Linked DNA regions of Rhinolophus ferrumequinum. The main gene of each other region encodes a partner of the protein of the gene in region 3 in a complex. Links are inferred from orthologs where the notes say so. Each region holds a gene or a part of one and is shown on either strand. Other genes may lie near its edges.

Region 1 (8,403 bases), on a different chromosome or scaffold from region 3:
GTTGTTTAAGCCACTTGGTCTGTGTTGATTTGTGACAGCAGCTGAACTGACTAAGACAGGTACACTCAATCCAAGAAACTTTAGAAAACAATTCAATATCCACGTTTACCCGGACAGTCCTGAAAATTCATACGAGATAGCACAGAACAGGCCAGCAGAGAAAGTACTGCTTCTTACCCTGTGGACATGGCAACATACCTGCTCGTGGCAATGGAGATAGGTGCTAAGAGCTTCCCTTCCGGAGCCTGAGGGCCTGGGTTGGACCCTCATGTCTTCCACTCAGGAGCTCCGCCAACTTGACCAGTTTACTTAGTAACCTCTCTGAACGCCAGCTTCTTCTCTATTAAACGCAGATTCAGTATTACTGTCCTATCTTATAAGATTGTCTGAATGAGTCTATGAAATAATGTAAACCTCAGGAAAGAGGGTCCATAGTAAGCTCTAAATAAATGTCAATTGCTGTTCAGTCACGACGTCCTTCAGGAAACATCCTTGCTTTGAATTTTAGAGTAGGGTACCCATTTAAAATGAAAAGAAGTAACAAGTGAAAATGTAAAAGTGTTTTGCTCTTGCCCCAACCCCTACCCCAAGCTCTGAAACAGCCACCCAGACTTACTCCCGGCCACAACCTGAGGGACTCCTGTGTCTTATGGGGTGTGTGCCCTCATTTCCTCATTTTACCTTCTGGGCATAGAAGTCTTAGCACCTCAGGCTTCCAGATGCCTTTGAAAATGTTTGAGTTCCAACATATAGGGGAGGAAAAAAAAGCATTGCAAAATCAGAATCAATGAATGTTTAATTAAAAGTCTAAAAACCTAATATTATGTCAAGTTCATTAACTGTTCCGTTTAGTCATCATAAAAATTTCATTACACTTAATTATATTTGAAACAAATTTATAGGTGAAATGGTCCCACTTTGCAAGAATTCCCAAGAATCCTGGACACTCAGTGGAGAATGTTTGGTCAATTGTAATTAAATGAATTTCTTGTAGGTAAATAATTCAGCAAACAAAATTATCACAAAATCATTTGATCATAAAAATAAAAGTTAGATGTGAATTGATTTCAATATATTTGTCGGGATGTGGAGAAGGGCTTTCCAAAAAGAATTGGTGGGGGAGGAAGAGTGTGAGAACTGCCCAGGGCTGGCCATGTCCCCTCTCCCTTTCAGGACCATCTCCTGCCACCTGCCACCTGCACACAGGGTCACTTTCCAAATCCCCATCTCTCCATGGATGAAAGTCCTCCTTTCCTTTGCCCCTGGGGAAAATTTCAAGTTTCTACCACAGCCTTCAATGCTCTGGCCCCTGTCCATCTCCCCAACTCACCTTCCACCCACCCAGGTCCCCTTTACTGGCCAGAGCTACAGGGAATGGTGGTGGATCGGGGACTCAGCCTAAGCCACCTGCCAATCCCTGGATTGGGCAGTGTGGCCTCTTCTGAAGCCGGAGTGGAAGGGGAGCCAGGAACCAGGGAGCGGGCCGTTCCCCTGCTCCCCGCCTCTGCCGTCCACGGACCCCAGCTTGCGCCCTGAGATAAAGAAGGCACAAAGAATTATTTGGTGAATGACCAGATGAATAAATGGGACTGCTCTGTCACCTCGGAGAGGCACCGCTGGAGACCACATAATGATGATAAGACTAGTTCCTGTTTATTGCACACGTACTACATGCTCAGTGCTCTGCTAGCACCTTTGGCACCTGATCTCTTCTAACCTTTGCAACAACCCCATGGTGTAGGTTCTGTTCTGAGGAAGAAGCTTTTCAGAGGGAGAAACTGGGCTCAGAAAGAGTAGGGACTCACTCCAGACACAGAGCTTAAAGGTGGGGTGCCAGGACCAGAGCCCTAGGTCTGTCTGACTCTAGTGGACACGGTGACCCATGGAGGCCGGCCGAGTTCTGCCTTGAAGGTGGTGAACAGCGCCAGGCAGGTCCTGCTGGGGCTGCCGCGGAGTCTGCTGCCTTCCACGCAGCACCTTCGCTTGGACTGTTTCACCCCCTCTGCCGATGGCTCTTGCAACCTTGACCCTGTCTCTCTCTGGCCACCTCTGGTTCTTTGACCTTTGCCCCTGACAAAGACACATTATTATCCACATTTGGTGCCTTCTGACCTTCCACTCCCACCCCTGAGGTGAATTCACAGAGGAAATGTCAAAAATAACATCCAGGCTGCCTGGTAGAACGGAGACTGCGGTTTGCCAATACAATGTGCAGTAAAAATATCTCTCTTTTAAAAGGGAGAGAGAGAAATTTAAAGACTTAAGATCAGTAACGTGCAATTATCATCTGGTTTGGGCGGAGACTTCTAATGGTTTCCAGAAAAACACAAGCTATGAAAATGGAGAGTGCATTCCAAAGCAAAAAGAGATGTGGGCTCCAGCAAACAGGGATGCCATCTTGGAACCTCTGTGGCCTTTGAGCTCCTTCCCAGACGGAGTACGAGGCACCAGCATCCTCACCTCCCTTCCTCTCCCCTTTTGCCTTCCACACTGGACAGAGCCTGGAAAGTGCTTCTGAACTCAGCCTTGGACCTGCTCAATACATAGGCCCCAGTGAACGACCATACCTAAAGGCACAAAGAAGATGTCCTCACTCCGTCTCTGGCGGGAACAACAGAGCCTTGCAATGGCAGGGACAGCCAGGTCTCCTCCAATATCTGTTGTCCCCTATTTTTTAAGTAATAAACCACCAATTTTAGCTGGGTGCCTTGTGATCCAGAATAACGACCATCTTCCCCAGCCTCCCTTGCCGGGACATGAAGCTAATGGAATGTGTGTGCAACTTGCAACTATTCTTAAAGGGGAGATACCTGTCCTTTTCCCTTTTCCTCCCTCCTGCTGGAAGGAATGCAGATGTGATGGCTGGAGCTTGAGCAGCCATCCTAGAGCATAAGGCCAACCTGCGAGTGAGGGCCATAAATGGCAGAGCAACAAAATAGAAGTGCCTGGGTCTCAATCCCGTGGTGTGCCAGGCCAAACCTGGACCGCCTACCAGGCTGTTAGAGGAGAAAGAAAGAAGCATCTAGACTGTTTAAGCCACTGATATTTGGGTTAAAAACAATCCTTATAGTCAAAATTACCTTGAAAATCTCTTAAATTGAGAAGAGAACACAAGATAATCTAAATCTTTAAAAGCGCGGGTCCCACCCAGTGTGGTGAGACGCTCTCAGCAGGTTCATGGCTTCCATGAATTCCAGACAGCTGTGGAATGCTCCAGGAGGGGCAACCCACCCACATTAAATTGTATTTTTTCTTCTCTCCCTCTTTATTTTTTATTTATTTACTTTTTTTGTCTAGGGCCTAAAGTTGTATTGTAAACATGTGTCACATTTTCTAACTTACGCAAATTTTGTGAGCACCAACTAAGTGTCATATAGATATGCTTTTTCTTATTTACCATCTCAGTTTTATAGTGAAAGAAACTGAGGCTCAGAGAGGTAGTGACCCACAGCTAGGGAGGAGCAGGTGGCAGCTCAGATCAGACCTGCCCTGGAGAAGAAGGTGAGGCAGCATCTTTGTCCAGGTGGCACCTCCCGGGGTACTTGGCCTTTCCAGCACAGTGGTTCCTGCTGCAGGTCCCTAAGGACCACTCAGACAGCCAGCGCTCCGCGTGGTTTCAGGATAGGAAAGAGAGACACTGGGGACAGGAAGGGACCCTCCAAACACTGCCCAGATGGCCAAGAGGGTGCCAGCCTTCACTGCTGAAGCACAAGTGGTACTTCCAGAAACCAAACTGACCCTCAGGATCAAGCTTGAGTCCCTCAGCCTGACCTGCAAGCCACCAGGCCAGGCACCTTCCACACAAAGAGATCAGCGGCACGCAGGGAACAAAGCAAGAAGCCTGAGCAGGAGCGGCCAGGGAGAAAGGGGGAGAAGCCGGGTGTCGGGCCAGACGGAGTCGGGGTTTCCCGGGGGTGGGGAGGGTGATAGGTGGGAGGTCCCCCCTCAGCCAGAGAGGACCAGGCAGAGGTGGGCCGGGGTGAGTGGGCGCCACCTGGTGGCCAGTCCGAGCACGGCGCCTCCCAAAGTCCACTGGGAGGCTCAGCGGGAGCCCCCTCCCCAAGGATGGGCGGCTCCACAGTCTTCCTCAACACCTGCAACTACCTCGCATTTAAAATTAATATTGTCAATTCATATGGAGATACACGCTTCTTCGGTTTTACATAAGACAGATACAAAAGCATTATTGTGGTTTCCTGTTTTTATTGTGTTGACCAAGACTTCCCCAACCTCACCCGCCAGGCGGATAACATCACCTGAACCGCCAGAGATTCAGATTTAACTGGTCTGGCTGTGGACTGGGTATCAGGACTTTCCCTGCTTGCTTAGCAAAGGCAGCTTGGAGACGAGCGTCCAGCACCCATTTATTTCCTCGCTGCTATCGCTGTTCCTAGGCCCTCCCTTTGCAGAAATGCTGAGCCACGGGTCCGCGGAGGGAACGCGGAAACCCACGAGCCCGCCTAGGCTACTGCACTGGGACTCTGAGCCCAGGGACTTCCGAGGCTGAGTTCTTCACCCGCTTGGGCTACCTCACACAGGCCTCTGTATAGGCCTGTTTCCCCTCCTATTACCTGAAAGACAACAGTGGCCCTGAACTGCTTGAGGGTCACCGGCCCGTTTGAAAATTTATGAAAAGCAATGGGTCCTTTTTCCAGAAACATGTGGGTGCCAACTGTGCTTATGACTGTAGATGGCACTGGTGGCTCTGATTTCTCAGCTGGATTAACCCCTTCATCCTCACCACGGCCTCCTCACTCAGGTAGCTGCTTTTACTAGTTTTACAGATGAGTAAATGGGGGCACAGAGAGGTTAAATAACTCACCCAAGGTCACACAGCCAGTAAATGGGTGGGGAGCTGGGTTAGGACCCAAGAATCTGTGGCCTTGGACAAGTGACCTCACCAATCTAAGCCTCGGTTTCCCCTCTGAGAAAAGAGGCCAGTACTAGTCTTTACTCGGTAGGTGAGCCAGAAGGGCACATGAGATTGGAAAACACACAGTAGCTGCTCATTAAGGACAGCTGTCATTTTGATACGCACACAATCTCCAGGCACCCACCCAGGAATCTTGGCCTGTGTGTTGGGGGGCGGGGTCAGGGTGGGCATCAATGGGCACCCGGCAGTTCGGGAAAACCCCCGGCCCCAGGGGATGCTCTAGTCTTGCCAAGCTCATCTCACCCCACCAAAGTCTAGTCAGAGGCTTCCTCTTGCTCAATACAGCTTTCGGTTTTGTTTCTTTCAAAAGCCACACACACCCGTTTCATTTTTCTTTTCCTCCACAAAGCTGATAAATGTGGGCAGGCTAGGCTTCTGTTTCCGTGATGTGAAGAGCTGACACCTGCCTGGTTGGAGCTGGCCTCCCTTCACAGCTGCCAGAAGCACCGGGCTCCACCACACGAGGACACCCAGCCCCACCTGGCTCACTCTCTCAAGGCCACAGTGCAGAAGCCTACAGCTGTCCCCCAGTCCCCCTGCCAAGCCACCCGGGATTTCCAGCAACTGCTGTCAGCATGGCCGAGGCCCCTGTGGACCCAAGTGAGACAGGTACTTTCTTCTTTCTAAGGAACAGCGGGAATCTGGGTGGGACTGGCACTTCTCTCTCTGGCTCCTTCGCTTGTCCCAGATGGCAGCAATGATAGCAACACACGTGCCATGCATTTTGCAATAACCTCAGCGGTAAGTACAAAGGTGTTTCCATTTCCCACGAGATCACCAAGCCCTGTGAGGTGAAAGGACTCAGAGCATCAGGCTGACGACAGGGCTAAGCACCTGGCTTCACACTCATTTCCAGAAAGAGCAGAAATTGCTTTGATTAGAAGTGCACATTTCCCCCGTTGTGTTCTTCCTCAGATAACACTCCCAGGAGGATACCAGCAGGGGTGAACCCTGTGCTCAGCCAGGTGGTGAACCATTGCTGCATTCTCCGGCCACCACTAGGGGCTTATGGGCTGTGGGCTGAGGGTGGTTTGGGGTGGAGGTGGGGGTGGGGTGTTGTTATCATTAGCTCATTTAATCCTCACCACAAGTTTTGAAGGAGCTGCTATTATCCCCACCTCACAGATGGAGAAACTGAGGCATAGAGAGTTCACACATCTAGTAGGTGGCAGAGCTGGGGCTCAAACCCAGGAAACCAGCCATCAGAGAACAAGAATGAGGAAAACAGGGTGTGCTGGGGAGGGGTGCTGGCAGGGTATGGCTCAGGTTCCTGTCCTACTTCCCCGTGGGGGACGGACACACGGGGACTGGTCAGTGGTGCTTAGGAACTGAATTTTCCTTCTTCCCCAGTGGGCTTTCCTCTCCTTACCAACTTGTTGCTTATACTTCTTCCATTTCACAACCTCCGGGATTTGTGGAAGGATCCCGCCCTTGGGGGATGGCCTTCATACACGTCTCTGACCTGACTCCTCCTTTGCCAGCAGGAAGGTGGAAGAGGGCAAGGAGGAGGCTCACCCTGGCAGGCTTTTCAAGAATCAAAACTCTTAAAAAAAAAAATCAAAACTCTTTTCAAGTCAAGGCAAAGCGAGATGTGTAGTGGGTTGGACGAGGATTTCTGGTGGCTGGGGTGGCTGCTCAGGGCCGAATGTGGTGGGTGAAGGGACCGGCGTCCCAGGTGTTCTAAGCGCACCTCACCTACGCGCAGCAAGGACAAACGCATTCTGACCACAAAGGGAAGCCACAGCGCCCAGCTGTAGAGCCAGCAGCTGAGTTGCCCCTCCCCCCAGAAAACCCCAGAAAGCAAAGGGTCGGATATGGCCACCGCCCTGGAAGGCAAGCCAGATCCACCCAAGAAGGGCCCTGCTTTGCATTACCCTTGGGGTTCTTGGGGGCACACACTTACTGATGACAGGCTGGGCTGCCACGCACAGCCGCTCTATCTTACAGGATCCTGTCCTCTCACTCCCCGCAGAGCAGCTGTCCCGGGTTTGTGGGATCCTGCCCGGGAGGAGCAGGGGCCCTTGGAGGGTTCCTCCTTGAGCCTCAAGGGATCCTGCTTAGGGTCGTTCATCTCAGGTGGGAAAACACAGACATGCTATCGGTCACCTGGGCCGACGTCTGTCCCAGTAGTGGATGAATCCACTCACTCACTCATTCACTCAGTCACTCATTCATTCCCGTGCCATTTCCTGAGAATCTACTGTGTGCCCGGCACTGCGCTAGACACCGAAGGTACAACAGTAAACCAGGCAATTCTGATGGGAGCTTCTTGGGGCAATTCTGTAGGGGACACACACACGTACAACACCCCGCCCGCTCAGGGCATCCAGGACAGCTTCCCAAAGGAGATGGTGTCTGAGTGAGACCTGCAGGGTGAGTAGACATCGGACAGGGGGAGGGGTGGGGAAACGTATTCCGGACAGGGAACAGCATGGGAAAAGGCCCAGGGGTGAGTGGGGCCGAAAAGAGCCCGGATGGGTTGGCACTTGGAAGGAAGTTGAGGGGGCAGTAAAGACCAGGCTGAGTGGTCAGCAGAGCCAGTTCTGGCTGCCAAGTCGAGGACTGGAGGGAACCTGACTGGAGTTGGACTTGCTGTCACTGTAGAGATGATGACACAGAATAGGGAGGTGGAAGCAGAGAAGAGAAGAAGGGATTCGAGAGAGCCGGAAACAGTATTTCCAGGACTCTGTGATTAGGCATCAGAGAGAGAGATCCGTTTCTGAATGTTGTGAGGTTGCTGGCTTGGGTGAATGTGACACCACCCATATGAGGATGGGAGCCCGGGAGGATTCTGCAGGGAGGCGGAGGCTGGGGTCAGGGCACAGAGGCATGCCTCCCAGGCGGTCACTCCGCCTCACTGCCCTGCCCTCTCTCCCCTCCCTCCTGCTCTCCTACCCTCACTCTCCTCATCCTGCCCCTGCCACTTCCCTCTCCTTTGAGGACACCTGAGAGCTGAGCGTCCACCTGCCCTCCAGGGATTGCTCACAGGGGGCAGAGGACCCGCGAAAGGCCTGGGTGCCTCGTCTGGCCACCAGGCCGTCTGGCCAAAGTCATTTCTGACCAGCCCATGTGCCCCTCACTGAACGAGGGTGGTGTTGGCAGATGTGTGCTCAGGCCTCTGCCCTGGATCCCTCTCACGGAGCTTCCCCTGCCCGCCGAGCCTCCAGCCCAGGCTCCGTTGTGGGGCCCTCAGTTCTCTCTCTGCCCCTCTCGCCTCTCCTAGACCTTGAGCAAAGCATCCTGCGGGTACTGAGGGAGGCTGGCTCCCCTGTGAAGACTGCCCAGCTGGTAAAGGAATGCCAAGTGCCCAAGAAGAAACTCAACCAAGTCATCTACCGGCTGAAGGCAGAGTCGCAGGTGGCCCTCGTAGGCCCCGGAACGTGGTGCTTGGGCGACGGTGGGACTGGAGAAGTGGTTCCTGCAGAAGGGGCCCAGCCCAGCCAGGGTAACCCACCATCCTGGGGGGGGGG
Region 2 (7,769 bases), on a different chromosome or scaffold from region 3:
TCACAAAAATGTACTGAAAATGAATCTAAGATATATGTGTAAAATGCAAATTTCTAAAACTTTTAGAAAATAACATAGGAGAAAACCCAGGTGACCTTGGGTTTCGTGATGAGTTTTTAGATACAACACCAAAAGCACAATCCATGAAAGAAATAATTGAGAAGCTGGACTTTATTAAAATTAAAAACTTCTGTTATTCAAAAAACACAAAAGAGAATGAAGAGACAACCCAAAGATTGGGAGAAAATATTTTCAAAAGACACATCTGATAAAATCCGAAACAAACAAAGAATTTTAAAAACACAACAGTTAGAAAACAACACCCCTTTTATAAAGTGGGTAAAACATCTGAACAGACACCTCATGAAAAAAATATACAGATGGCAAAAAAGGCATATAAAAAGTGCTCAACAACACGTTATTAGGGAACTGAAAATTAAAACAATGCTGAAACATCACCATACATCTTCTAGATGCAATAAAATTCAAAACACGGACAAAACCATATGCTGGTGAGAATGTGGAGTGACAGAAACTCTCACACATTGCTGGTGGGAGTGCAAAATGGTACTCCACTTTGACAGTTTGGTAAATTAAACATACTTTTACCATATAATCCAGAAATTATGCTCCCAGTAAACCAAGACTCTTAACCCAAAAGAGTTGAAATTTTATGTCTACACACAAAAATCCTGCACATGAACGTTTATAGCAGCTTTATTCATAATTGCCAAAACTTGGAAGCAACCAAGATGTCTTTCAGTAGGTGAATGGATGAATAAACTGTGGTACAACCATACCATAGAATATTATTTAGCACTAAAAAGAAATGAACTATCAAGCTGTGAAAAGATATGGAGGAGCCTGAAACACATATTACTAAGTGAAAGAAGCCAGTCTGAAAAGGCTACGTGTTATATGACTCCAACTATATGACATCTAGAAAAGGCAAAACTACAGAGACAGTAAAAAGATTAGTGGTTGCCAGAGGTTGGAGAGGTAGGGTAAGTAGGTGGAACACAAGAGATTTTTAGGGCAGTGAAACCGTATTCTGTATGACACTGTAATGGTGGACACATGACATGAGCACAGGACAACTGTACAATGCAAACAGTAAATTCTAATGTAAACTATTGACTTTAACTAATAATAATAATGTGTTAATATTGGTTCATCAATTGCAACAAATGTACCAGACTAATGCAAGATGTTAATAATAGAGGAAAGTTCAAGGAGAGAGGATATGGGAACTCTACTTTCTGCTCAACTTTTCTGTGAATCTAAAACTAGTCTAAAAAATAAAGTCTGTTACTTAAAAAAACCAACTCTCACACATATAATATCACCTGATTAATGGATAAAGATGACACTGCATTGAAATGAAAAAAAAAAGATGATCTTTATGATAAATAGTAACATATAAAAATAAAATGAACTGGGGGTGGCCCGCTGTCTCAGTTGGTTAAAGCACGAACTCTGAACAACAGGGTTGCCGGTTCAATTTCCACATGGGCCAGTGGCCTGCACCCTCCACAACCAGATTGAAGACAATGAGCAGAAAGCTGAGCTTCTGGAGGGGCAGCCAGATGGCTTAGCTGGTTAGAGTGTAAGCTCTTAACAACAAGGTGGCGGGTTCAATTCCTGCATGGGATGGTGTGCTGCGCCTCCTGCAACTAGAGATTGAAAACAGCTACTGGACTTGGAGCTGAGCTGCTCCCTCCACAACTAGATTGAAGGACAAAACGACTTGGAGCTGATGGGGCCTGGAGAAACACTGTTCCCCAATATCCCCCAATTAAATTTAAAAAAGAAATAAAAATAAAATGAACCTTGGGCCGGCCAGGTGGCTCAGGTGGTTGGAGCTCCATGCTCCTAACTCCAAAGGCTGCCAGTTCGATTCCCACATGGGTCAGTGGGCTCTCAACCACAAGGTTGCCAGTTCAATTCCTCGAGTCGCGCAAGGGATAGTGGGCTCCGTCCCCTGCAACTAAGATTGAACACGGTACCTTGAGCTGAGCTGCCTCCCAGATGGCTCAGTTGGTTGGAGCGCGGGCTCTCAACCACAAGGTTTCCAGTTCAATTCCTCCACTCCCGCAAGGGATGGTGGACAGCGCCCCCTGCAACTAAAATTGAACATGGCACCTTGAGCTGAGCTGCCGCTGAGCTCCCTGCTGGCTCAGTTAGTTGGAGCGCGTCCTCTCAACCACAAGGTGCCTGTTCGACTCCAGCAAGGGATGGTGGGCTGCGCCCCCTGCAACTAGTAATGGCAACTGGACCTGGAGCTGAGCTGCACCCTTCACAACTAAGATTGAAAGGACAACAACTTGACTTGGAAAAAAGGCCTGTAAGTACACACTGTTCCCCAATAAAGTCCTGTTTAAATAAATAAATAAATAAATAAATAAATAAATAAATAAAATAAACCTTTATCTCCTACGTACAGAAAATTCAAATCCAGATGGATCATAAACCTAAATATAAAAAGGAAAGAAACAAAACTTTTATAAGAAAACCTAAGAGAACATTTTCATGATGTTAAAGTAAACAAAGATTCTTAAATAGGAAACAAAAAGAGTTAACCATAAGGGAAAGAACGATCAGCTGGGCTGTATTAGAATTAAGAGCTTCTGTTCAGAAGATGATACCATTAAGAGAGTAAAAAGGCAGGCCAGAGAACAGAAGAAGAAATGTTAACGACATTGCCAATCACAGAATGGCGTCTCCTCTGCATTCCAGCTCCTTCAATATCATGAATCCACACCTCCAAAGTGAAAAGCCTTCAAATGATTTTCTGAGGGAAAATTTGCCTCTTGTTTTGAAGTGAATATTAACTGAAAGACTCAGGCTGAAAACCTAAACTGATAAGGTTGCCACTTTAGCCGCCTCAATCAGCCACGTCCCCACCCAATCTGATGAAACACTCACTCAGCACACAAGCTGCTACACACCAGAGCTCCATTAAGCAGGATCTTCATGCAAGCCAGCATGGTCAACCCATAAGGTAAGGTTCCCCATGATTTTCTTGCCCTGCATTTCCTATTATATTGTTCTGGATATTTTTCTTTATCTTGTTAATTATTTAGAGTAGAAAAGAGAGAATCAGTTACCATGACTAAGGAAGTAGGGTGTTTGGAGCTCAAAAGTCGAGGCTGTTATTCATTAATACATTGTGCTAGTGGAAATTCTGCGAAATCCAGCCATCCCTGGCAAAAGGCAGAGCTGAGGGGAAAGAATGGAGCCAAGAGGAAGGATCTCCAGCCTGAAAGTTTCAACGTCCCAAATGTGCTCTTGGTTTATTGCAAGAGAAACTGAAATTTATATATATTAAGTTAAAAGAAAAGTATTACCTGGATATCCAAGTGGCCACCAGCCTAGACAATTCCAGAAACAAGCTGATTCCTTCTTAAAATTCTAAATAAATTTATCAAAAGGTAAATACAGATGCTTCTTTCTGGAATGTGTTCTTGCCAAGAAACGCCTCCAAAAATATAATGAAAGTCAAATGAAGGGCATTTTGCTAGCGCTCCTGTGAGTGCAACTTCTGGAATTTCCACAGGCGGAACAGATTCAGCAAGTCAGTGTGAGAGGGTGGGGCTCTAAGCAGAAAATGAAATACAAGGTTTTCTGTATCGTGCTCGCATGACAGGCCATTTTACGGCATGGAGAGAGCACAGGTCAGAGCATAAGTTACCCAGACTTGAATCTGGGCAGTTCAATTTAGCTCTCCGTCCAATTTCTACATTCCAAAAGAAGGAAGTTAGAAAATCTAGAAAACTTCTAAGATCACTTTCAGTTCAGTATTTAAGGAGTGCATGATGGTGTGCTCTTTTTTTCATTTAGGACATCTATTTTTCCAGGATTCTAGTTAGGACATTCATTCATTCTAGTTGGGACTTTATTGAGTTACAAGAGGATCCAAGGCAGACGATAAGGGTTCACCACCTTGAGTAATGGATGAAAGGTGCTATCCTTTCTCATGGTACAGAAGAGACTGCCCACAGTTGATGGGGAGAAGTCCCTCCAACTGACGGGATGTGAGCAGCTTTGAACCTGTGAGCTTGGTCATGGGAAACGGAGAAGTGGCGATCTAACCTCTCTCCCACAGAGAAGCCTGTGTGACTTTGACATCACCCAGTTCCGGAAGTTGCCCCTGCCCTGTATTTGACAAACTGCTGGAGGTGTCACCCCCTACCTGACCCCACAGATAAACAGCTGATTGTGCTGCTGCTAAATACTACAAATGGGCATTTCTCTAAACATGGACCTTTCTGGTACCTCAGCGACCCCAACCTTATTATTCTAGATCCAATGTGCTGCCACAGTTGGACTCTGACAATGCAAGAGCAAACGCCTTCCTAGGTGTCAACTTGTTCCTGTCAGACCAGGGCAGTTGGAACATCTCAACAGGGGGAATGGGATCCACCATCAGGGCGATTTTGACCTCAGTAGCGAAGGCCGTCTCCTCCCCTACACTTGCCCCCACTTTACACAGACTTTTCAGTTCCACTCAAGGACCCTGCCCACTGGGAGTGACTTCTGGCTGATAGAGTCCCATGGTAGCAATGACTCTTACACTCTAAGCATTATGTGGGCCCCTTTGGATTGTTATTTCTTTTGTAAACACAGGCCTTCACCTGCCTTCCTCCTAGCAATGTAATGCATATATATGGGGCATTCATGTAATCCATATATAGGGGGCATTAGTAAGAGACTTCCAAATATTCAAAACAGTCCCACCCATTGAGCATATTGCACTACACTGAGTAAGATGGGAACTCCAAGACCAGGGGGACCCCGGTTATTCAGGAGAATTACTAGGGGCATTACCAACTCCAGGTAATTATTTCCACTGTTGGGTTCCCTCAGTTAGAAAGACAACCTGTCTTTGACTCTTGCTGAGGTCATTCATGGCACTACTTTAGCTTTGAAGGCACAACAGATCAGCCTCAGTTCCTTGGCCCAAGTAGTGTTGAATACCTGCAATAGCCCTCAACTTCCAGCGGCCAGCCAAGGTGGGGTCTGTGCAATTGCTGACACATTGTGTTGTACCTGGATCAATGAGGCTGGCAAAACAAAACAATCCATCACCAGGCTTAGATAGAAAGCCTCCTGGATCTCTGAAGTAGACCCAGATGGACTATCAGACTTCTTTTCCTGACCTGGCAATCTTTGGGGCTCATGGTTATGTTCAACCCTCCAGGCAGGTCTAATCATCCTACTTGGAGTGATATTAATTATGATCTCAGACTAATTACCTGGTTCTTGACACAGTCCCTCAGAGTCCCATTATGGTCCGTGATCAGGTAGCCTATGTATTTCCCTTGGACTCTGAAAATTGAAAGGATGAAGTTGAGAGTCTGGCTCCAGGCCAAAATCCTATGTGTGATCTTTCAGGCCCACACATCGGCAATTACAAAAGCTTTACCTGGTCAACCTCACAGGTAAGCTGCCCTCCCCACATCAGATATACATGTGAAAGTAACTTGTTAAGTTGTCTGACTTATTAAATTGGGGCGGTTCCCCAGAACAGTGTGGAACAATAGCATTACTAACAGACAACTTTATCATGTTTTTGAGTTTAATGAGAATGCTTACAAAGTCTCCCTAATGAGTATGAATTTTAATTTAGGTTTCTGGTAGATGTTTTTATCTACCTTCTTTCCATTTTAGCACTTTCCTTCCATCTTAGCTCCCTAGCATTTTTTTAAAATAAGGAAGGGGTGTTAAATTATAAAAACATTTTTCCCCCAGAATCTTTTGAGATGATTATAGGATTTCTTACACAGTCTAAGTTTCTTAAAAATAAATTGCCTGCATTGTGCTTGTGGATTCAGGACTATGTGCACCTCACCAAATTAGTTGGTGACATGTCTTTTTCTATGTTCCATAACTGCTTCAGTAACAGAAATTTTCTTGTGTATAAATTGACTGTTTATCTATTTTTGTCACTTATAAAATGGATATGGGGTACTGGCCTTTTAATGTATAAGAATTCTTTTTTTTAAAAAATTTATTGGGGTGACAATTGTTAGTAAAATTACATAGATTTCAGGTGTACAATTCTGTATTACATCATCTATAAATCTCATTGTGTGTTTACCACCCGGAGTCAGTTCTCCTTCCATCACCATATATTTGATCCCCCTTACCCTCATCTCCCACCCCCATCCCCCTTACCCTCTGGTAACCAGTAAATTATTGTCTGTGTTTATGAGTTCTTGTTTCTCATTTGTTTGTCTTGTTCTTTTGTTGTTTTTGGTTTATATACCACTTATCAGTGAAATCATATGGTTCTCTGCTTTTTCTCTCTGACTTATTTCGCTTAGCATTATATTCTCAAGATCCATCCATGTTGTCACAAATGTTTCTATATCATCTTTTCTTACCGCCAAATAATATTCCTTTGTGTATATATACCACAACTTCTTTCCAATCATCTATCAAAGGACATTTTGGTTGTTTCCATGTCTTGGCCACCGTAAACAAAGCTGCAATGAACATTGGAGCACACGTGTCTTTGTGTGTAGATGTTTTCAGATTTTTTGGGTAGAAGAATTCTTGATATAGAGTTCTTCAGCTTTTATTTTTCTTTTAGCACATATATTTTTCCAACTCTGTTGTTTTCTTTTGCTTTATTTGTGAGAGAGAGAGAGAGAGTGGGTGTGTTTTTAAATTATTGGATATTCAAGCATATCTATTTTATTTCTAGTATTGATCTCTATTTGGTCAATAGTGAGGTATACCAAAATACTTCATCTTCATATCATTTTTTTCTATATTCCTTTGTCAATTTCTCTAACTCCTTTTAAGCTTGGATAGGTCTTTCGCACACAGAGATAAGAAATTCAATCAATTTGTTTGTTTTATTTGTTTATTTTTTAAATTTAAATGTTTGACCCAATGAACTCAGGGCCCTGACTGCATTGTGCTTGTGGATTCAAGGCTATGTACACCTCACCAAATTAGCTGGGAAAAAACGTATTTTTCTGTTCCATAACTGCATAAGGGCTTTTTTTTTTTTGAAAAAACAAGGCAATTTTTTTTTCAAGTTACAAAAATATGTATAGGTCAAAAATACAGTCTAGTCCATGTAAGAGTAGTTCCAGCCTTTTAAAATCTATACAGAGTTTGTAAAAAGCAATTCATATACAAGTCTTAAAAAACGTTTCATGAATAGTATACAACCATTCAATTCAGTTATTGCTTGTTATATGCAGCTTTTACTGGAGACTGTTCTCCGTAAGGGAAAGGGCAGTGTTTGGGTACTCTGATTGTTATTTCTTAAGTTGTGGTTTTAAAAATCAATCAAAAATCAGAATAAGCTCACTTTGAATAAATGAGGACGTATTAAGTTTTGATTAGTGCTACGAGTAGGAGTGGTCTGAATTTCAGTTCCTCCACCTTCTCCTATTTAATTCTATTTTGTTAATATATCAGAAATATTAGTGTGTAGTTTGGGGCAAGAGTAAATGAATTACTGGTTTTCAAATGAAGTGATAAGAAACATTAACTTTGAGTTCCAATGTAAAAACAAAGCTGGCATATCCAGTTTAAAAACTTTAAAAGAATAAATTCAAGAATGGTCGAACATTTAAAGTTTAACTAAAAACCAAAGCTGCATTTCTTTCTCTTTAGACATTGAGATATAAAATGAATCAATTTGTTCTTTTGAAGTTTATGGGTATATGAAGCTCTGATGCTCTCTATTTTCTCATTACAAAGTCAAAGAGTTAGCCACATAACAGGAACACATTTTAAAACAAATCTAT
Region 3 (8,320 bases):
AGATGGGTGAGAAAGTTGAAGGGATTAGGAAGTACAATTTGGTAGTCACAAAATAGTCACAGTGATGTGAAATACAGTATGGGGAACAGTCAATAATGTAAGATGGGTACCAGACTTATTGGGATCACTTCATAAATTACATAAATGTCTAACCACTGCACTGAACTAATACAAAATAATGAAACTAATATAAAGTAATATTGAATGTCAATTATAATTAAAAAATATATGTATAGTCATGGGATGTAAAATACAGCATAGGGAATATAGTTAATGGTATTGTAATAGCCATGTACGACGTCACATGGGTAGTAGACTTGTTGGGGTAATCACTTTGTAAGGGGTGTAAATATCTAATCATTATGTTGTTTTGTACACCAGAAACTAATTAAAAAATTCAATAAAGAAGGATCAACAGATGGAAACTAGACTTTTGGTGATGAGCACACTGTAGTGTATATAGGTATCAAATTATAATGCTGTACACTTGAAACATGATGTTATTAACCAATGTTACTTCAATTTCAAAATAAATAAACAAAATGCTCTGGGAAAACAAAATTCAATTACAGTAGTAAACAAGGGGCAGAATAGTTGTATTATCCATGGCAAAATAGTGGTAATCACTGAAGGTGGGTGATGGGGAGACACTTCATAGTGCCCTTTACTCTTGAGTATGTTTGAAAATCCAATTAAAAGTTTTAAAGAAAAAAAAGAAAACCTTCCACACAGAAAGGGACAGTAAGGATGTGTACCTGTCTCAATCTGGCATCAGATATAGTAGAAAAAGAAAATCTCTCCTGAAGATTTGTAAACACAAGTGCAAATTCACATTATTCATACAGTCCAAAAAAACTTCAAGAGATTAATTTCATTTGAAGAGGGTCCTACGCAGCATTGTCCCCAGGTAATTAGAGTGAGCAAATGGACCTTTCTCTGGAAAACTCAACTTCAAGCAAGGCCTCAAAGAATTCCCACACTGCTGTATGATATGTTGGAAAGTGTTAAGAGAGTAAATCCTAAGAGTTCTCTCACTGTCGGAAAAGATGTGTGTTAGCTGAACCTATGTGGTAATCATTTCACAATATGTGTAAATCAAACCATCATGCTGTACGCCTTGAACTTATATAGTGATGTGTCAATTTTTTTCTTAATAAAACTGGGGAAAAAAGAACTAAGGTGTTTGATTGGTGCAAAAATTTGAAATCGGGTTATGAAGGACAGTTAAAACTTCAGAAACTAAATTATTTCTGCTTTTTTTTCCTTTTGGTTTCAGGAGGTGCAGAAAATCCTAATTCACATAGGTAAGTAAGTGTAAATGGTAATTTTTTTGAAAAAACAGCTTGCTTTGAAATTTCAGGATACTGGTTAATTAAACAGAAATGACAGGAAAGTCTTAATATTATCGAAGGTCTACATAATAAGGAGTTCAAGTACAGCACGAACTGTCACACTGGTGGCCTTCAGTATTTTAAAATTTGGTTAATGATACATTTTAATACGAATTTATTAGCTTTTTTAAGTTAAAAAAGTAGTAACATTTGCATCAAGTATTTGCTAACATTCTAGAGAATCCCTGAAATATCTTCCTGGGACATAATTTTAAAACCACTACTCTAACAAAGAAATGAAGATAACCTATTATTAGCACCTTAATATTTGGTTTGAAGAAACTTGTATTAAAATTACTTTAAGAAAAAGACAAAACACAAAAAATAAAGAAGAATAAAATTACTTTAAAGTTGTTTAAAACACTTTGCTGTTGGCTTTGTGTTTTAGGAAAACATAAGTTACCAAAACTAGCTCAAGAACTGATGAGAAACCCTGGATGGGCTAATAACCAGATTTTAAAACATGAAAAAGTAATTTAAAAATTCTATTCATCAAATTATTACAGACTCAGATTAGAGTTGGTTTAATCTTATTGCTCTTTGAAAGAACAGAGAATTTTTGTTATTTAAACTGTTCTACCACATTTAAACACGTGAAAAGCATTTCTGATGTATTGTCAAAGTTTAGAAATAGAAGAAAAATTCAGACACCAAAGAATATTTTTTTCAACTGATCATGTATTACCCCCCACCCCCAACCTCAAAGTCTTTAAAAGCAGAAATTGAGTAGGCCACATTTCTTTGATCACAATGTAATAAAATCAGAAAGTACAGCAAAAGGGCAGCAGAAGAACCAGGAGAGGGAAGGAAGAAGGGATAAAAAGAAAAGATGAGAGAAAGAGGGAGAGAGGGAAGGAGAGAAAGAAAAAGGGATAAGAGGTAAGGAGGGAGGTTAGGAGGGAGGAAGGAAAAGAAAAGAAAGGAGAAAGTTCTTTTGAGAATTCTAAAATGCCTTTGTGAAATGTGTTAAAGAGCTCAAAACAAATTAGGTGGGTAACAATGTGAAGATTACCTGTCAACCCTATTAATGTGATTGGTTAGGAAGCCCTTTTGCTTACCCAGATACTTGTTTGTACACAAGTATTAATCATAAATGAAGTGAGGAATTCTGTACAAACAGGCATCTAGCTCCTGCCTCTCCCGATCCTTCCCAGAGTCAGAATTTCAACCGTTTTTAAAAAATGTTTTTTAAGCCATTGGGAGGCTTAGCTTTACTAACCCGTCTCCAAAGACCAGAGCGGGGAAAGCGACTTGCTTGGTCAAAATCACTAGCGTCATGGTTGATCTGGGACTCCTAACCCCCAAGTCAAAGTGCGTGGTCTGAACAGGCACTTGTTCTTGCACCTTCCACCTCATCCCAGCCGTTACAATGGTAGAGGAGGGGTCATGGGGCCTACTTACCTTGGTCAATCGCCCTGTGGAGCTCCTCTGCCAGGAGATGCTGGTTGATGGCTTTCAGAACCTGCAGGGTCAGCTGCACAGCACACTTCTCCCCATAGTGAGAGACCAACAGAGAGGCCAGCTTCACTTGTCTGGCTGTCTGAAGCTGGCCCCTGGGTATCCGGGGGTGCTCCTTCTCCAGGCTGGTATTCTGCAGCTTGAACTTGAACTTCTCAAAGTCGTAAGGCACCAGCTCCTCCAGTGAGTGTAAGAGATGGTCACTGGGGGTCTTGGCCATGGTGTTGACCAGAAGAGGCTGGAGCCAGCTATCTGGCTTCTGGGAGGAGAAGAAGCCCTCTGTCCTGGAGCCCGGGGGTAAGTGAGAAGAGGCAGCTTGTGAAATAACGGAAAAGGCACAGGAAATGCTCTGTGATTTGGTGGAACTGAGGAGTGTCACTGCTGGCTTGTGTTCTCTTGCAGATTTTTGTAGCTTTTCCAGCTGGGAGGGCTCAATGCCTTCCCTCCAATGCCCCAGCTCTCATCTCCAAAGGCTGGACTGTAGAGTGGTGGGTAAGTCTGTGAGGGGAGTCTGGGATTGGATTCCGGTCTTTTTATCCTTGGGCAGGCAGTCAGATGCTTCCCTCTCTCCTCCTCCCAGAATTTGGGGGTGAGGGGTGGGAACAGAGCCCCTGGTCCCACATTGGAGAGGACCATGTCAGCCCCTTTGGCCAACTGTTCTCTGCCAGAATATTGGGATTTAATTCACACTTCATAGCCAATGGTGAGAAGGGCAGGGGGCGGGGTGGGGGGAGCAGCAAATACAGCCCTGCAAGCTTTGTGGTTCCCTGCCCAAGAAGGCAAGCAAGGCCAGAAGGGCACTGCCAAGAGAGAAGCCCTGGTGTTGCCCCTGTTGATGCAGTTCCAGTTGTCTGCTACTTCCAGCAAGGGCCTCATAATGCCATGCCTGGGACCACCATCCTGATCTGTTTGTTTCCAGAGCTGACTGTGCCCTGGCTTCCTGTGAACCTACCTGGGAAAAGATACTCATCCATACACATTTACTGAACACATTCTGGACACCATGCCAGGATGCTGGAGAAACAAGGTGGAAAAGGTATAGACATCCTTCAGAGCTCACAGCCCAGTGTAGGGCCCCAGAGGGGGCTCCAAAGCTCATGGAAGTTGTATTTGGGTAAGCTGACTTCTTCCTCAGAGAACTGCTTCTGTCTTTCTTTATACTCTGATTTTCCCCCCAACTTTTTGTTTTGAGAAATTTCAAACCTACAGAAAAGTTGGGAACATAGTAGTACAATGAACACTTATATACCTTTTACCTAGATTAACCAACTCTTTGCATTTTACAGTATTTGGTGATAGTCTTTTCTCCTTCCCTCTCCTTCCCTCCCCGCCCCATTCTTTCAGGCACACACTGTTTTTTCTGAACCATTTGGTATGAATTGAAAATACTATCACAAATCACTCCAAATACCCTAGGTGCCATAAATACTAAGAACAAGGATACAAATATATTACTTTAAATAATCAGAATACAGTAATCACACTCAGGAAATTTAATGTTGTTAAATCAAATTTCCCCAATTGTCCTTGACAGCTTTTTTTTTTTTCAATACAGGGTCCAATCAGAGATCATGCGTTGCTTTTAGTTATTATGTCTCCGTAGTCTCTTTTCATCTAGAACACTTTTACACTTCCCCTGCCTTTTCCTTAATCCTTTCCAGACAAGTTTTTTGAAAAGTCCATTCCAAGCAGAATGTCCCTCAATTTAGCTTTGTGTTATTGTTTCCTCATTATTAGCTTGAGGGTATATCTAACACATGCTAAGGTCTCTCCATTATAAAAGGACATTTTTTTCTCTGTACTTAATTAACATGATTGTGTAGAAATGTCTGATTCTCTCATAATATTTCACCGCATGGTTTTAGCTTCTATTGAGGATCCTTTCTTAAATCAATTGCTACAATGGTGGTTACCAAATGGTGATATTTCTATCACTTAGTTGATATCATTTGCATATCCTGGTTTAAACTTTATATTTCTCATGACATTTTTGGCTTACAGATGTTTTGTTGGTAATACAGTTACCCTCTAACAGTGCTTGCTCTGAGCCAGGCACCACTTGCTTTATATCCATTATCTCCTAGAGTTTCTGCAGCTCCCTTCAGGACAGAATTCATCATCCCCATTTACACCCAGGATTAGTAGCTTAGCGACTTGCCCAGAGCCAGGATTCAAACCTACTGTTAACCACTTTGCAATATTGTCTCCCTGCATAATAATTTCTTATTTTACTATGCATCACTAACTATGGATGTCATTTTTTCAGCTCTCCAGTGAGGATCAAAATGGGCCATACTGACAACTCCCACAAGTCAGTGACAACATTCTGATGGTTGGCCGAACAAACAGCCCTATGTGTGACCAGCCTGGGATCAAGACTTCAATGAGTTCTGGTTGGTTGAATTTATCTTATTGTCCAATTGTGCTTTGTATTTTACAGAGATTCAGTGCTTTTGGTTTAATAGCTGATATAATACCCAGTTCTCTGGATCCTGCTGAGAAAATACCCGCAACCCACATCTTCCCTAAAAAAAGGGATGAACCCAAATACACATTTCTTATGCAAATGTTGGATTGTGAAATTCTAAGGTTGAGCTAGAAGGGTGTTGACTGGGTATCTCTGGGACCAGAACCTGTATCAAAGTCCGGAATGCAACGGCACAGCCACCTCCCAGGCACCCTCCCACTGCTGACGCAGAAACGATGAAATTGTGCAATGACATGCAGTGTCTTTCGTGTTCTTGGGTCCCTGAGGCCTGTCTTGACTACCTAGGAAACTCCTCTAAACTGAGACTAAAGCACTATGCCACAAGTGGATAGGAAACTGGACTTTCCAGTCTACAGCAGGCTGTTTTGCAAGTGCAGTGACATCTTTTGTAATGGGCAATTCGGAGAAAGAGACTTCTTGGAGAGCAGTGTTTTGATGCTACTAAGTCCTTTCTAGGTGTAGAGAGTCTTACAAAACTCTAATTTTTTTGAGATTCCAGTGAGTTTTTAAAATGAAGAAATGTGAAAATAGGATGATAGCTATTGGGATGCATTTTAAATCTTTAACAATTAAAGTGGAGTATTGATGAACTCCTATTTCTTGTTCCTCTGTGATTGTATGAGTGCCCTTATTTGGGGATAACATGATAAATCTAAATCCAGTGCAACTGGTACAAAGGTTCCAACCTCTGCTTTTATGCCCACGTAATACACAGCTGCGTCACCCTGGCCTTTACTCCATTTCTGGTCATCAAGGGTTTCACTTTTTACTGCATTCATTTTTGTATCATTTGGGATTTTTAAATCAATATGTATTACTATTTATAATAAGAAAAAAGATAGTTGTAAGAAAGTACTTTATAATTAGCTTAGCCTCTAAGGTGCAATAATTCCTGTCCACCCAACTATCACGATAAAGGATGTCTATAAAGTAGTATTTAAATATAATACATATCTGCTATTGAGAAAATGGGAAGAATTGCTGGGAAAATCATGGAAGAGTTCCTGTGTTAATCTGGAGTTGAAAATAGTGGATCCCATTGTGACATGAACTCTCCCTTGCCCCCCAGTATGTTGAATTTTAAGGGAGAAATCTGAGACTTTGAAGAGCTAACCACTAAAGTTCTAAATGAATTTTCAGGCAATGAACCTCCCACTGAGAAACATACTTGTAGCTGTGCTGAGGGCAAACGGGGTTCTGGGACAACGTGCAACCTCCTAATCAGAATGGAGACAGAGGGAGAGGAAGCCAGCTTCCCAACGTGGGATGCAAAGGGTGACCTTGACCTGTTGAGGTAGTCCAGTAATGGGATCTGAATAGGTCCCCAATGAGAACTTCATTTGCAGTATGGTAATATTAAGCAAGAGGCTTTGTAAGCTATAAAGTGTTTGTACACATTATTCCGATTGTTAACTCTAGGTGGTCAGTGGTTGTTTATTTCACTCTTTAAATTTTTCTGTGTATTTAAACATTTTAAAAACTGAAAAAGTTTTGTTCTACCACTATTTATAAGGGACCCTCTAGGAGGCAGACTTTGGGCATACAGCTCCTGACCGCCAAAGGCTTACAGATCAGTGAAGGAGGAAAACAATTGCCTGGAAGGCAACTGCTCTCCCCCACACCCTTTGAGTTTCGGTTTACATAATCCTGTCCCCACTCTCACACCTCCCGGTCCTTTCACCCCCAGCAGAGCTGACCCTCTCCTGCCCCGTGCTTCTGTCTTTCCCGCTCACCACCTCTTATTGAAACTGTTCAGTTTGGAAGCCGCACAAAGTTGTGGGGGGAAATACGGGACTCCAAGATCTAGGACCCCTGTGACCTGGTCAAGTTACTCGACTTCTTTGAGCGTGCTTTCTGTCAAATGGGTTGTTGGGGAATTCAATGAGAAAGAAAGTATGCAAAAGTGCCTGGCACCGTGGGGTAAGTGTCAACTTCATTCTTTGGTATTCCAGCGCCTGACACGTCATGGGCCGTGTCGGTGAAGGTGGACGGAAGATTTCTGCCTCCAGGACCTCCTCCGCCCACACCCTGCGGTTCCCGTCTCGGGAACAGGAAGGCGCCGTCTTGGCGGGTGTCACGCACGGTCGGCAGTATCTCCCTGGGGCAACAGCTCGGAGGGGAAGTGGCTTGTGGCAGGAAGGGGAAGAGCGGCGGGAGGATAAATAAGTGTCAGCGCAGCGCCCCGACAGACAGGCCGGCGCCGGGGTCCAGGCCCGCTCGGCACTCTTATCTCCGCGGGGCCTCGGGACATGCTCGAGATGAGGGAAGCCCCGAGAGGCGCGACGCACCCCCCGCGCCCGCTCCTGCCACCCCACCCGGCCCCACGACTGCCTTGGTCTCGCGCGCCGATTGTACAAAAGCGCTGGCGACTCTTTGAAGTACATCTCCGGGTTTCCGGGAGTTTGTGAACCAATCAGAGGACGGGTGGGCGGGCTCTCTGGGAGTCTCGCGGCTGCGCGGCGCCGCGCTGCTGTGGATGGGGTTGGCAGCCCCCAGCAGCTTGCCCCTGTTTCTCGCCAGAGCTGCGGAGCGCCCGGCGCGGAGGAGGCGCGGTTTTCGCGGCTGGTATCCGACCACAACCCCGGGAAGTGGAGTAGACGTGGTCCCCGGCTGCTCTCTCCTGGGCTTCGGCGCCTCTGGGTTGCGCTGAGGCCCTTGATCCTGCAAAGCGCTCCCACCCTTATGCACCTGTAGACCTTGTTCACTCACGTTTAGGGCAAGTATCTACCGAGTGCCTAGTATGTACCACTTAACTGTGTTAGAAGTGAGGATGATCACGTCAGGCAGGATTCCTGCCCCTAGAAGCTCATCTCCAGAGAGAGGGCGAGTAAGCGATAATTTCCAATCATGGTAAGGGCTGTGAAAGAAAAGGCAACACCTGTACTGCCATTTTCTCGGTTTTCAAACACTGCCCCTAGGAACCCTAGAATACAGATTCTTAAACTTCTCTGTATCGTGATTCCTTTTGAAAAATCTAGTAAAA
Region 4 (7,784 bases), on a different chromosome or scaffold from region 3:
CTCTTTCTCTCCTTACCCAAGGTACCCTCGATCTGTATATGGACTAGAGGATGAAGCTGGTGGAAGAATTGAGCAGAGGAAAGGAAGGAATGGAGAGTGGGTACCTGGTATTGGATTTGGCCCCCACTCCCTGGGAGGATTCGGTATTGGATTTGGCTCTGGCTCCCTGGAAGGCCCGTTGGTGCCACCTCTCCCAGCCCCCTGTAAACAACAGCACAGCACTCTCAGGCTCTCTGTCCTGGGGCCTGTTTCCATGGCATAACCCCTTGATCCCAAAGTTTCCCTGGCAAGGGGACAGGATTTGCATCCCCTAGTCTCACCTGATTCCCTTGGGGTCTAGCACCTGGTGGCCAAGTCGAGGTGGGGCTGGGCTTCTGGTTTCTGAAAAGTGAGGTCTCCAGATTTGGGGGAGGTTGGACTGTTGAATCAGAAGACATCCTTGCTGTTTGGGCATGCTGAGTCTGTTCTCCCTGTGCCTCTATCTTCTTAGGAAGGTTTATACATTTTTCAGAAACAGAGCTGGGCAAACCTTCCAGATTCAGGTTTAGCATCTCAGAGACCATGGAATCAAGGCTTTCTGGGGTTTCCCTAGGGCCATCCATTTCTGTCCCTCCTGGGCCTGGCTCAGAGGCAGAAAACCTCCTGTGCTCAGACAGGAACTTCTTCACCTGCAAGGACAGGGGGACCTTGCTGGGTGTGGAGGTGGGAGAGACAGAGTAAACCCAAGGAAAGAGTCTCTTGGTCCATAATCTGTTGCCTGGGAATTCAGGGGTGGGGTGGAGAGAGTGGGGATGAGGTTCAAGGCATAAAGAACAGTGGTCAGTGGGGAGTCACTGGGGGGCCACAGGAGCCATCTGGTGCTATCTCCGCCCGGCTCTTTGTGTGTGGGTTGGTGTTGGGCACTCACTGTGGACACTGCAACATCCATCTCTGTACCAGTTACACCTGTATTCTGTACCATGTGGAGGGCTTTCTCAGTATGTCGTCTGCAGTCTGGAGAGAAAGCAGAGTGGGTGGCAGGTGAGCGAAACTTCTTTCCCAGGCAAAGACCCTGCTGACAGATCCAGGCCTGCCCCAGCTACCAGCTAAATGGCCAGCTCACCTTGGAATGAAGGCCTGTCCTTGGGCTCATTGCTGCAGCAGTCCTGCATTAACTGCGTCAGTTCTTCTAAGCCAGGAGTCTCAGGGCTGGGCTGGGGCAGCTCAGTCAGTGGGGGCCGGTTCTGCCTCTCACACACGGCTTTCTGCATCAGCGATATCTGGGGCACTACTGGGGTGCGGTGGGAGACATGAAGACAAAGCATTCAGGGTATGAGGGGCCACCTGCTCCATCATGGAAAGTGGCGGGAGTGCAGTCCAAGAAAAGGTGAGGAGGGAATAGGACAGTCTGAGCAAGTAAGCAGGAAGAAGAGGGTTTGGGGACTTTCAGGAGGAGGGCACCTGGGGTTAAGGATCCCAGAGTCTGCTTAAAGCCTTACTTTCAGCTTCTTTTCCAGCTAGCACTTCCCACAATAGGATCCCGAAGCTGCAGGAGACACAAAACTGAGGCCTGGCCCAACTGCTGACAAGACTCCTCTCCCATATACCTCCCTCTGGAAGGGCCCAGAGAGGTGCAGAAATTGGGATGTGTGTTTGGTGTGGGTACCTTACCTGTAGACATCACTGGCCGTAGAGGCCTTCCGGTTTACATCAGCCAACAGTTCTGGGGCTAAGTAGGCTAGGGTGCCCCCTGATTTCCCAGATCCTGCTGTTGACCTTGAGCCTCCCAGAAATGTGGACAGGCCAAAATCTGCCAGCTGCAAAGGGAAGGGCAAAGGAGAAGGAAAGGGGTGGACAGGGCCAGGCATCCCCTTCTTTCCCCGAGAAGGTGCAGGCCTAGCCATGTAAAGGGGGTGTGGAGGGTTAGGGGCATGGTAGGATCAGTGAGGTCCTTGGTTTGGAGGCCTGGGTCCCCTCTCCATTGGACTGGGTTAAGGGCTGAGTCTCCTGGGCTGTCAGCCATGGGTCTTTGTGGAGGGCCTAGTGGGGTGAGCCCCACAGTAGAAGTAACTGTGTCAGTCAGGGCTCTATCACTTGGTATGGCAGAGGCTAAGGCTGCTGGGTGGGCCTTGACATTTGGGCAGCCCTGTGTGCAGAGGGAAATGCTGAGGGTATTCAGTAGGCAGGGCTGCAGCAGGTGCTTTGTCCAATGGGTGGGGCTGGAGCAGCTCTGGGGCATGACCTTGTTTAGAGACTGGGCTGGGGTGCGGATGAGCTGACCTTGACGTGTAGGTCTGCGTCCAGCAGGACGTTGGAGAGCTTCAGGTCCCGGTGCAGAAGCACAGGGTTCAGGCTGTGCAGGTAACACATCCCGAGCACCAACTCCTGCAGCAGGCGGCAGAGGAACGGCCAGGGCCGAGGGCACTGGGGCTGCAGCAGCTCTACCAGGGAACCATTCTCCATGAATGGGGTCACCAGAGCTGGCCCAGACAAGTTGTCCCACTCCAGCTTCTCAGTGACGCCCAGCAGGAGCAGCACATGCTGGTTACGCAGACTTGCCATGGCCTTTACCTCCCTGCATATCACCTTCCTATACTCCAGGAGAGAGTTGGAGTCACTGCTCTGCTGCTGGGCAGATCCCTCCCTTCCCCATTCAGGACCTGCGGCACAGTGGCCTGCCTGCATGCAGCTGGGGCACTCACGAGTTCACGATCTTGACCGCCACATCAATACCCCACGACTTGTGTTGTGCGCAGAACACTGTGCCAAACCCACCTTCACCAATGTACTTCGGGTTCTTTAATTCCTCGATGGACACCAGGGGGGCTGGGGCACCACTGGGCCTGGGAGAGGGGACCTCATTCACCAGCTGGCCATGGCTTCAAGTCTGCACTGTTCTCTGCTGTGACCCCCATGACTCAGCAGGGTCGGTACAATCCACAGCCTCCCCTGTGGGCCCCACTGTCCCCCAGGCTTGGCAGGGCACAAAGCAGTCCCTGAGCTAGCCGGAGGGGCATCCTGTGTGTCCCATTCTCTACTCACCATAACTCGTGGCTAGACATCAGTCTGGAAGGTGTGAGTCCACATGGATGGAGTGACTTCTCCGAGTGGAGTCTGTGGCAGAGAGGGTTGGGGGTGGGGAGACAGGTCAATCTCTAGGCCACCTCACCGATTCCGCTTCCCGCTTCCCGGGTCTCTCTCCCTACCAGCGCTGAACAACTTCCTTGTCCGTCAGGCGCCTCTACAGTCCCGCCCCAAAGGGGCGGGGGGGGGCGGGGGGGGGGTAGGCCGAACGGAAGCTTAGTGCTTATCTTTTCTAACTAGTTATTTCCTAAAGCACCTGCTGCATGCCACAGCCCGTTAGATGTCACTGGGCACTTAGGGTGTCCCGGCAGAAGTCCTCACCTTGCAGGAACTCATAATCAACTCCCTTCTCCCGCCGGCGCCTCTCCCTCTTCCCACAGCAATCCCAGCTCCACTACCTGCCGGGCCCGGGCTAGGGATGCGACGGTGCTGAGGAGGATTGCACGGTACTGGGGCTCAGTTCTCCCCCAACTGCCCTAAGATTATAGCTAACACTCCCGTAAAGCTTGTCATGTGCCAGGTACATATATGAGTTTATATAACTCTCACATCGACCCTAAGGGCATAAGTACTGCTTTTATGACTTTTTTGTGGGTGAGGAGAAGGAGGCACTGAGAGTTTACCTCGCCCAAGCCAGTGAGGAACTGACTTCAGTGCCTGGCTTTCTTATCATCACCGTAAACTTTCCTATTTTCACATAGGCTTCAGGGCTGTACCATTCAGCTAGTGGTGAAGGTGGCTGAGGAAGGTGTAAAGCGTCCGACGGTGTGATGAAGGGTCCCTGTCTGTATTCCTGCCCAGTTCCTCCTGACAGCTGCTCTTGCTGAGGCAAGCCCTGGCATTGGTAGTGACTTGTCTGCTGTCAAGGGCAAAACCCACTCCCAGGGCAATAGGATCAGCAAGATGACTGGCCCAGCCAGGGGGTTGCTGACACGGTGTATGTGCAGTGGGAACACCTCAGGCCCTCCTTGCTCTCTCCCCCATGCCAATTCCTCCATGCAAATTCCTTGGTTGATATACATTCCCCACAAGCACATGCTCTGGACAAGGGCCTTTTAGAACTCAGGAGCTTAGGGAACCTTAAGGATTTAAGGTAGACAAAGGTTATTTTACCCGTGCAAGGCCTGACCATGGCTGGAGGTTGTGGGAGCTAGATACAGCTAACCCTGGGCACTCAGTCCTTCATGGGGAGACCCAACCCTGCGGGTCGTGTGCCAGCTGTCACTGGAAGGTCTCCTCTTGGTGTGCACTTTTTATTCTGTCCGGTATTCCATGGACTGTGCTGGTTGGAGAACAAGTGGCCAGCAGTTAACTGTGTTTTTTAGAGCAGCTAGGAACTCTAGACTCCAACTCATGAATTCTGGTGGAGTCCATCCATGCGATTTTGGAGGTATTTAGGGAACTCTTCGATTGTAGTCTGTTTAAAAGCCTATTTATGGTAGGCACCCATAAATATTTGTTGAATTGAATTAATAAATAAACAACCGAAACTTCTGGGGCTTCCTTAAATCTCTGACCATCCCTGCTGGAGCTCTACACTCACTGGGAGGAAAGAGGAGCTTGGGCTTCTTTATGGGTTAGGGGCTCTCACCAGCACGGTTGACAGAATCCATCTGAAGTAGACTTTATTACAGAGATGTGGTGGTATCTCACAGACTATAAAGGCAAGTGCAGCAGGTCCTCAAAAAAAGTCTAGTCAGGAGCTAAGAGCCATCAGAGATGTCAGCCATTCCTATCGTGATTCTCCTTTGGTAGAAGACTCTGGGCTCAACATTGGGGCTCCGCTTGAAACGTGTTAGAGGAGTGTTTCTATGGTTGGATTTCTTTAGATTGGGACAAGATCCGGAGAATCAGGGGTAACCCACTATGAAGCACAGGGTTGGGGACAGTCAGAGCCTGTCCTGCTTTCTGACTCAAAATAAACCAAACCCCTTTAGAAGAAGGGGAAGCAGGGATGTGAGTCTGCAGTGAGTGCCTGAGAAGACCCTCTGCTTCTGCTAGGCTGGCACTGGCAAGGCAAAGTTGATTCCTAGATTTTTGAAGCTCTGAACTTTTCTGAGGCCTGGTGCCCCTGACTCCAGCTATCCCAGGCTTTTGGAGTCTATTTGGGTGTCTGTCATTCCTTCAGTTCTCTGCTCCTGATTATCTTTGCTTATCTTCAGCCCACCAGTACACACTCTGGTTCCCTATCCTTAGTTGTGGGGGTGGGGGCAGAGGATGTGGTCTTTCTTCTCGGATAGTCTAGCCTTAACTAATTCTCATCTGTTGTTTGATTAAGAGATTTTACTCATAGACCAAATGGTATTAAGGTGATGGCAAAAAGGATTATGGAGAATTTTCATTTTCCATAGTGTTTGAATATTTTATACTAGCATATATTACTTTTATAAACAGTTAAAGAAGACAGAAGATCACAATGTATACAAAAATTTAGTTATAAAGATATTAACTGAAATGTTATTTAAAATAGTAAAAAATAGAACCCTAAAATCCAATAATAAAAAAGACTGAGTGAATTATTCAATGGAAGACTATGTAGCTGTTAAAAGGATGCTCTTGATCTATATTTATTTATATGACAGGTGTTGATCGTATATCAAATGGAAAAAAAACGGGTTATAAAACAACTCGTATGTACCACATAATCACATTTCTGTTTGTTTTAAAAATTCTTTTCCAGTAGTATGACTGAGTTCTTAAAAGCCTCCCATAGCAGAATACTTAAATGCTATATAAAACACAACAAACACATATGTTAAAAGTTCCTTAGTGAGCTCCCTTAAAATAAAGGTAATCTCCCAAGGGCATCCCCTGAAATCAACAAAATAAGACAATACAAAACAAAAGGTATATAGTGAGTAAGCAGAGAGTTCAACTAACTAGAAACCTAGAGCTTTGGGGACTGGATAAGGGTATGGGAAATTAGGGGAGAACCAGAGCATAAGCCTTAGGGCCTAGAAAGATGGAAGAGCTAAATATGAGACACCCTCATCCCCGAAAAGCTGGGACCATCAAAGAGTCAGTTTTTCTCACTGGAAAGAAAAAAGTCTACTTGCTTGCGGAGGGAACCTACAAGGAAATCTGTCTAGGCTGTAGCACTAGATGTTAAAATGAATAAAAGTGTTAGTTTCCATGTGCGACCTGTTCTCTTTCCCTTTGATCGAATAAACCATAAGCTGAAACTTTTAAGTGGCCCAGATTATTAATGTCCCCTGGAGTCCAGCAGAAGCAAACTGAGTGCCTTAGAGGAAAGCATCCTCAATCCAGTCTTCTGGATTAAATTCACCCAAATATAAACTCACCAAAAAATTACTAAATATACAAGGATTGAAATAACTATGAAGGAGAGTCAGCAGCAACAATAATCAACAGTTTTAGATCTTTAAGGACTTCAGAATTTGGAATAATCAGATGAAGAATCTAAAGAAGCTATCATGAAATGTTTAAAGAATAAAAGATGTAGTAGAAAAAGTGAATAAGTCATAAGAGAGTATTAAAAAAAAATGCCCAGATAGATTTAGGGAAAAAATAGAACAACAAAAAATAAAAATTTGTATATAACTATTAAAATTAAAATTGCAATGCTTGGTCAAACAGAAGATACAGCTGAAGAGAGAAGTAGCGTGCTAGAACGGACCTGAAGAAGTTCCCCAGGATACAGAAAGAGAGACAAGCAGATAGAAGAATTAAGAGGCAAAGACTGAGGCAGTCCAACAATTAGCAAATTGGATTCCCAGAAGGAGAGAAGAGGAAAAAAAATGCGAGCCAAGAAATATTTGAGGAGAAAGTGGCTGATAGTTTTCAAAAGTTGATGAAAGGCAAGAAAGAATCCAGGAATATAAGAATCACTATTTATACCAAGAAGGATAAATATGAAGAAATACACATCTAGATACATCTTAGTGAAACTGCAGAACAATCACGACAAAGAAACAATCTCAAAGGCTACAGAGAAAACATAGACCATCTAAAAATGAACATAACTAAACTGGCATCACACTTCTCGACAGCCATACTGGAAACCAGAAGAGACTGGAAATGATTCAAAGTGTTTTTAAAAAGGGGGAAAATCTGTAAACAAAGAATCATATACCCAGAAGAGTTATTTTCTTCAAGAGCAAAAGTTTTATAAAAATACATTTTTAAATAAATGAAAACTGAGTTTACCACTAACAGTCTAAAGAAATTTCTGGTGGCTGTGCACCAAGAAGATAAAGAAAACTTACCCCAGATGGGACATGTAAATGCGAGAAGGAATAGCAGTTTCCACTAAGTTCAACCACAAAAACAATTAGCATCATATTAAACCCCTAGAAAGAAAGGGGATGGCTCACTGATTTAAAAAAGGATCTGCTGGACACCACCTCAGGGATGATGGAGATGCCTGATCACTGCATTGTACACCTGAAGCTGAAGCTGAACAATAATGAATGTCAACTATAATTATAGTTATAAAAAAAAAATATATATATATATATATATATATATATATTTACAAGAAGTGGAGTACAGCATTAAGAATAGAGACAGTGGAAATGTAACGGCTGTGTGCGATGTCAGAGGAGTAGTAGATGGGGGAGGGGGTTATCACTGTGTGAGGGATATAAATGATAAATGTCTAACTATTACATTGTTTTATGCACCTGAAACTAATTTAAAAAAATGTTAAAAAAAAGGATCCGCTACCATCAATTCTACTTCTGGGTATATATCCAAATAAA

Evidence for each region.
Region 1: MEFV (region 3) and ZBP1 share a complex: the UniProt entries of both Homo sapiens proteins name them as parts of the AIM2 PANoptosome complex. The link is inferred for Rhinolophus ferrumequinum from reciprocal best matches to the Homo sapiens genes MEFV and ZBP1.
Region 2: MEFV (region 3) and CASP8 share a complex: the UniProt entries of both Homo sapiens proteins name them as parts of the AIM2 PANoptosome complex. The link is inferred for Rhinolophus ferrumequinum from reciprocal best matches to the Homo sapiens genes MEFV and CASP8.
Region 4: MEFV (region 3) and RIPK3 share a complex: the UniProt entries of both Homo sapiens proteins name them as parts of the AIM2 PANoptosome complex. The link is inferred for Rhinolophus ferrumequinum from reciprocal best matches to the Homo sapiens genes MEFV and RIPK3.

Annotation. Positions count from the first base shown.
Region 1 is NC_046306.1:4,310,343-4,318,745, forward strand, and holds the start of ZBP1 (Z-DNA-binding protein 1), read left to right. Parts: upstream 1-5,267; 5' UTR 5,268-5,508; coding exon 5,509-5,542; intron 5,543-8,156; coding exon 8,157-8,378; intron 8,379-8,403.
Region 2 is NC_046291.1:30,095,840-30,103,608, forward strand, and holds the start of CASP8 (caspase-8), read right to left. Parts: upstream 3,443-7,769; 5' UTR 3,348-3,442; intron 3,002-3,347; exon of another isoform or gene 2,917-3,001; intron 1-2,916. UniProt on the Homo sapiens protein: Thiol protease that plays a key role in programmed cell death by acting as a molecular switch for apoptosis, necroptosis and pyroptosis, and is required to prevent tissue damage during embryonic development and adulthood.
Region 3 is NW_022680357.1:4,725,560-4,733,879, forward strand, and holds the start of MEFV (pyrin), read right to left. Parts: upstream 3,153-8,320; 5' UTR 3,070-3,152; coding exon 2,793-3,069; intron 1,305-2,792; exon of another isoform or gene 1,274-1,304; intron 1-1,273. UniProt on the Homo sapiens protein: Involved in the regulation of innate immunity and the inflammatory response in response to IFNG/IFN-gamma.
Region 4 is NC_046289.1:74,475,678-74,483,461, forward strand, and holds the start of RIPK3 (receptor-interacting serine/threonine-protein kinase 3), read right to left. Parts: upstream 3,225-7,784; 5' UTR 3,186-3,224; intron 3,094-3,185; 5' UTR 3,042-3,093; coding exon 3,022-3,041; intron 2,823-3,021; coding exon 2,682-2,822; intron 2,570-2,681; coding exon 2,260-2,569; intron 1,797-2,259; coding exon 1,651-1,796; intron 1,526-1,650; coding exon 1,479-1,525; intron 1,271-1,478; coding exon 1,103-1,270; intron 994-1,102; coding exon 908-993; intron 669-907; coding exon 321-668; intron 202-320; coding exon 105-201; intron 1-104. UniProt on the Homo sapiens protein: Serine/threonine-protein kinase that activates necroptosis and apoptosis, two parallel forms of cell death. Necroptosis, a programmed cell death process in response to death-inducing TNF-alpha family members, is triggered by RIPK3 following activation by ZBP1.